2 linked regions of the Callithrix jacchus genome follow. The protein of the gene in region 1 purifies or fractionates together with the protein of each later gene. This does not show direct contact. Links are inferred from orthologs where the notes say so. Each region holds a gene or a part of one and is shown in the gene's direction. Other genes may lie near its edges.

Region 1 (3,824 bases):
ATGCTGCTGTTTTCTGGAGCAGGATTAGGTGATTACCCTGCAGGACTTGATCCTTGGGAGGAGGAAGCACCCAGACTTGGGCCATGCCGGGCAGCCTGTTGCCCTCATCCCTGCTCCCACCGCTGCCAACATGGAGGTTGTGGGCCTGGAGGAGGGAGAGGAGCCATGAGCAAGACTTGGCCTGTCTTGGAGACTGAGAAATGCTGGCAGTGAAAAAGCGCCTGTTGGCTAGAGCGGAGGTAGCAGGCTTAGGACAGTATCCTTAGTAATGCCCTACGGGTTACTGGGAGGAACACAGCAAGCATTTCAGTTCTCACTATGAAAAACATGCTTCCAAGGCTCCCCTCAGAGAGACAAAATGAGCTTTCTGATGCAGGTCCTTGGTCCTGAATGAAGAGTTTCTGAGTGCTGCATCTGCCTTTCTAAAACTTGAGTTGGAATATACTCTCATATCCTCTGTGGTGCTGCCTTCCCTGGAAAATCAGAACCAGGCACTGGCGCTTTGTGTACTTGGGACTCCATCTTTACTTTGCCACTGTGCATTTGCCTGCAGAACACATCTTGGCCCACTCACACACACCTACAACGTGGATCTCAGTGCCGTTGCAAAGTTTAGGCCTCTCCCAGTGCTCACAGATGATAGCAGCAGAACATACATGGAATTCAGTATGCCACATGGTAGATAGTCACCTGACAAAGGTCATTGCTTAAACATCACAGCAACCCCTCAGTGGGCCTTACCTACAGGTGAGGAAACTGAGGCTGTAGTTTGTAAAACTGGGACACAAATCCAGGCTTGCAGAATCCAAAATCTGTACCATAATACATGATATATGAATGTATTGGGCTTATAGGGGGCGTGTGTGTGCGTGCACAGGATAGAACCTGAACACGTAAGGGCTTGGAGGAGGTGTGGTGGAGAGCTGCTTTCCTACCTGCCTCACTGTCCTTCCCTTGAACCAGAGGATTGGACCAGTGCCTCCACTTGATAGACACAGGAAGGCAGCCTGGAAACTTGCTCAGGGACTGGAGGCTCAGAGCTCAGATGAACCATCTATCCAAATTAACCCAGAGTAGATAATCCATGTTCAGAGAAGTGAGTTTACTGTACAGAAATGTCAGCGCTTTCGATACCTTTTCACATCCTGTTCAGCTACTGCCATCCTTGTTCTTGGATTATCTGAATATTATAAAATTGTTACTCCATGGGTTGTCAAAATCTGTCAGCAAAAAATGCCTTGTTCTTCAGTTTCCAATTTGCACAGGGTCTTCGAGGAGGGCTTCAGGGTTTAGGTTGCCTTTTTAATCTTGATTTGTTGCCCTCTGGCCTTTGACACTGCTTCATGCTGGGCTGTTTTTCTCTATAAATATATTTTTTACACCGCTGTATTGAAATATGATTGACATACAAAAAGCTGTACATATTGAATACATCATTATATTTTAAGCGATGATTTTATCCAAAGCTTTAATGTGCAGTGACCAAAATAGATGAAGAAAAAGTGGGTTTGAAAAGTACAGTCGCTGTATTGCCGCCCCTCTTTCAGGTCGGAGTTCAAGTTTTCACCAAGAGACCTTTGGATGAACAGCAGAAGAACAGTTTTAACCCAGACGACGTTATCAATTGCCTTAAAAAATACCCTAAAGCCCTTGTGAAGTATCTGGAACATCTCGTGATAGACAAGAGACTGCAGGTGAGCACTGCAGAACTGAGACTCAAGAGGGTGGGCTGGAAACGCAGAATTAAACTACAACACTTTTTGGCATGTAGGTCTGTGTAATGTCTATTCCCTGGGTGCTCCATCCTACTTGTTGATGGTCTGATGGGGGCCTTGAGGCTTGCGGAAAGAGACATGGAGCAATAGGTAGCTTTATTTTTTCTCCTTCCATCTCACGTCCACTCAGCTTTTATTTTTCTCCTCTTTTCCTTCTTTGTTATAATCCTTAAAGGAAATAAAAGGAGCTATACCTTTTTGTAGGTTACCTCAATTCTGTGGCCCTTACTTCTCGAAATAAGAGGTGATTTTTTGTTATATTCCCCATAGATGGTCAACTCATGTCTGTATTGTGGTTTCTGAGAAGGTTTTGATCCAGTGAGTGAGCATCCGCCCGGCTCATGTCAGCGCAGCTCCCGTCTCCAAGCCTTGGCTGACCGGGGAGAGCTTTGGCCTTCCCACTTGAAAACACTGTCTGTTTGCTTGGCTCCCCCTGTTTCCTGCAGAAAGAAGAGTATCACACCCACTTAGCTGTGCTCTACCTGGAAGACGTGCTGCAGCAGAGGGCCTCCGCCAGCAGCAAGGGTGCGGAGACCACTGAGACGCAGGCCAAGCTGCGGCGTCTTCTCCAGAAGTCCGATTTATACCGAGTCCACTTTCTTATCGGTGAGAATGATCTCAGTACTGTCTTCCTTTAGAAAAACTCTTATCAAGTGGGTGGGAGGAAGCAGAGAGACGGGCTTTGGCACAACTCCTGGTTGATTCCATGGGGTGATTCCTTGAGCCTCTTTTTTAAAAATGACAGGATGTCGCTTTGTCGCCCAGGCTGGTTTCAAACTTGTGGCCTCAAATGATCTTCTTGCTTCTGCCTCCCAAAATGCTGGGATTACAGATGTGAACTACCACACTTGGCCCTTGAGCCTCTTTTGACAGAGTCAGCCTCCCTGGAGGGAGAAGTGAGGCTTCTTGTGCCTCTAGATGGACACTGCCTTTTGATTGATGATGTTGGCACTTCCCTGGTAGCTTTTGGTGTGTGTGTCTTGACCATACCTTTGTCTGAGCATCTTTATCAATGTCAGAGCACTGAGTCATAGTTCCGTCTGATGACTCCAGTCTCTGATCAAGGCTTTGCAGTAGGCACTGCCCCCAGCAGGCCACTCCTGGGCTGCTCAAGGCTCAGGGCCCTCGAGCTCTAAGCGAGAAGGCATTGCGGGTGTCTTGGAGGGGATTTGCGTTTCCATTCCTCAGGGGTACAGAGACCACCGTTTCTGTATCGTGTAAAGTTCCATGTGCAGCACAGTGCTTGCAACTGTTAGAATTAACTAGTTTCTTGCCACATTAGACATAGAATTTCTGGATTTATACTCACTGGGGTTAGTGACGTGTTTTTCTTTAATGGCCTTTAATACCATTTTTTGACCAATAACAAAGCATGTCTAACACATGCGTTGTCTCCAGAGAGCTTAGGAGTGCCAGGCAGCACTTCAGAACTACGCTGAAATCACCAACTAAAGGCACCAACATGCAAAAAGGCATGGCACTAAAGAGCCCCTGAAAAGGAAATGAAGCAAGGAGGGAGGGCGCTGCTCCTTTGGCCCCAGCTCTGTGTCAGGCTCGGTGCTTGTCACAGATGACCTTGAAATTCCTGCAAGTGTTGATTGGGAGGTTATAAATAAATGTCAGTGAGTAGATGACTCTGTAAATACAGAATCCACAAATAATGAGGATTGACTGGATATGCCAGGCACAGGTCGAATCACCGAGGCTGCCTTATGACATACAGTTTCCACAACAACCCCGTGAAGCGAGTCCGGTCATTCCTCCATTTTTACAGAAGAGTGCACTGAAGCTCAGAGACGTTACCCCACTTGCCACAGGTCACACAGCCCAATGCGTGGTAGAGCCACAACAGGGGTGTGGGATGGCATTTCATGAGACCAGCAAACACTAGTTCTGGCTTGCACCTGCACCTACATTAGGACTTTCTGTGGTGATCTGCCATGTGAATTCTGTTGACTCACAGCTGCCATCCCTGACTGATCATTGCCAGGGTATACCAGCTATTGAATATTCTTACTCACTCCTGACTTATCCTTTTTGCTTTACAAA
Region 2 (2,673 bases), on another chromosome or scaffold:
AGGCAAGTGGATCAACTGAGGTCAGGAGTTCAAGACCAGCCTGGCCAGCATGGTGAAACCCCATCTCTAGTAAAAATACAAAAAATTAGCCAGTAGTGGTGGTGCACACCTGTGATCCCAGCTACTTGGGAGACTGAGGCAGGAGAATTGCTTAAACTTGGGAGGCCAAGGTTGCAGTGAGCTGAGACTGCACCACTGCACTCCAGCCTGGGTGACAGAGCCAGACTCTGTCTCAAAAAAAAAAAAAAGGTTTCATGTCAGACCACAGAACAGTTTTTCATCTGTACCTAGAGCTGCTTTGAGTGGCTTTTCAAGATTTAGTCAAAAGTGAAGTTCTGGCTGCTAAAATTGAGCCCCGCTAGGGTGGATTAGAACAGGGCATGGCAGGGGTGGCAGCTGTATCTCTGTCTTTAAATTCAAATCAAATAATTTTGGATTACCCAAAAGGCCACAGTCAGGTAGCTCTAAGACTCTGTATCAACAGACTTTTGTTCTTTAAATCTCACAGAACCCCACGGACATATCCTATGTGTACAGTGGCTATGCCCCGCTCAGCGTGCGGCTGGCTCAGCTGCTTTCCCGGCCTGGCTGGCGGAGCATCGAGGAGGTCCTCCGCATCCTCCCAGGGCCCCACTTTGAGGAGAGGCAGCCACTGCCCACGGGACTGCAGAAGAAACGTAAGTCCCAGTCCAGCATCTGCAGATAATTATGTTCTGTCAATGTGGTTTTCAGGTATTGTACAGTTGGCTTTGTAAAATACTTGGTAAAGCACATAGGAGTCAGAATTAAAGATCCCTCTTTTGTTTGTTGCTATTGTATATAGTAAGCACTAGAATCAGATTATTCCCTGAGGGTTCACAGCTTTCAACCTCTGCATTGAGAATCTCAGGAGTTACAAAAAACATTGAGATTAAAATCAGTGTCCCTGGGTTTCAGATGAACTGTCTGGATGAAGACTTGTTTATTATGAATGATAAAATGTTTGAAGGGGTGGGCAGAGAAGCACCACTAATAAAATAAAAACCACTAGTTTTTAATTCTGAAATTTTACATTGTAGGTCAACCGGGAGAAAACCGAGTCACTCTGGTATTTTTCCTTGGGGGCGTAACCTTTGCGGAAATTGCTGCCCTGCGATTTCTTTCCCAGTTGGAAGATGGAGGTACAGAATATGTCATTGCCACCACTAAATTAATTAATGGAACCAGTTGGATAGAGGCGCTGATGGAAAAACCTTTCTAGGGTGTTCAGAAGAGACCTAACAAGTGAACTGCAGAGTAAACTGCCTCGTTGAAGAAGTTGCTGAAAGGAAGTAAAACCCCATAGAAGAAACATGGGATTACAGAATATAACCTGGGGTCAGCTTCTTAAATTATACTGTTTACTCCTTTCTCCTTCTCGTTTATATTCCTTTATTTTTGTGGTAGGGAGATGGAGTTTTGCTATGTCACCCAGGCTGGAGTGCAATGGCGTGATCTCAGCTCACTGCAACCTCCACCTCCTGGGTTCAAGCGATTCTCCTGCCTCAGCCTCCTGAGTAGCTGGTACTATAGGCATTCGATACCATGCCTGACTAATTTTTGTAGTTTTAGTAGAGATCGTGTTTCACCATGTTGGCTAGGCTGGTCTTGAACTCCTGACCTCAGGTGATCCACCTGCCTCGGCCTCCCACAGTACTGGGATCACAGGCATGAACCACCATGCCTAGTCTCTAATCTTCTGAAGAAGAATAGAAGAGAATCAGCCTGTATAAAAGAAGCACTGGTTTTGAGGTTTCTAAGCTCAGGGTCTTCATTAGAGACCTGTGGAAATACGTTAGGGATGGTGGGGGTAGATAATCCATTCAGCCACACAAATGGGGCCAGCTCTTAAAGCTGAGACTGAGGAGGTAAAACTGAAAATAAAAAGAGGAAGTCCATCCCCTAATCTCCAGCGCTGTATTTCTTCAAGGCGCATCAGGCCTAGGACAGTGGTTAAGTGTTGGGAGCTGGAGATCATTTTATCACTGAGTTGAGATTTCTTCTTCCTGCGAGTATGGGAGAGTATGTTTAGGGTCACCAGTCGCTGATCACTAAGGCAACTTTGCTTCCTTCTTACAAAGCAAGAGGTTTGGGGGAGCTTCTTGGCCAGCAACAAAGTTTATGCTCTATGGGATCAGCTACATCTCTGTAGGTTCCATACTTATCAGGGACTTTCAACATGAAAAAAATGTGATAATTGGGGAGCAGCCTTTTGAGAATTCAGCTTTTGAAAGAATTCAGAGACACTTTCTGGTTTTTTGTTTTTGTCTTGAGACAGAGTCTCGCTCTGTCACCCAGGCTGGAGTGCAGTGGCGTGATCTTAGCTCACTGCAACCTCCACCTCCCAGGTTCAAGCGATTCTCCTGCACAGCCTCCGGAGTAGTTGGGATTACAGGTGTGCACCACCATGCCCAGCTAATTTTTATATTTTTAGTAGAGACGGGGTTTCACCATGTTGGTCAGGCTAATCTTGAACTGCTGACCTCAAGTGATCCACCCACCTCAGCCTTCCAAAATGCTCAGATTACAGGCATGAGCCTCCATGCCCAGCTTCAAAGACACTTTCTTAGCACACACGTTATTAACTCCAGACACAGCAGTGGTGGATGCCTCCATTGTGCTTTTCATTTTCTCTTCTGTCCATCATGGACCCAC

Evidence for each region.
Region 2: the proteins of TGFBRAP1 (region 1) and VPS33A purify together in Homo sapiens (co-immunoprecipitation; 5 studies listed by BioGRID and IntAct, with this or other methods). This does not show direct contact. The link is inferred for Callithrix jacchus from reciprocal best matches to the Homo sapiens genes TGFBRAP1 and VPS33A.

Annotation. Positions count from the first base shown.
Region 1 is NC_133515.1:15,349,024-15,352,847, reverse strand, and holds part of TGFBRAP1 (transforming growth factor-beta receptor-associated protein 1), read left to right. Parts: intron 1-1,547; coding exon 1,548-1,694; intron 1,695-2,221; coding exon 2,222-2,381; intron 2,382-3,824. UniProt on the Homo sapiens protein: Plays a role in the TGF-beta/activin signaling pathway. It associates with inactive heteromeric TGF-beta and activin receptor complexes, mainly through the type II receptor, and is released upon activation of signaling.
Region 2 is NC_133510.1:125,441,888-125,444,560, reverse strand, and holds the end of VPS33A (vacuolar protein sorting-associated protein 33A), read left to right. Parts: intron 1-508; coding exon 509-677; intron 678-1,058; coding exon 1,059-1,240; 3' UTR 1,241-1,916; downstream 1,917-2,673.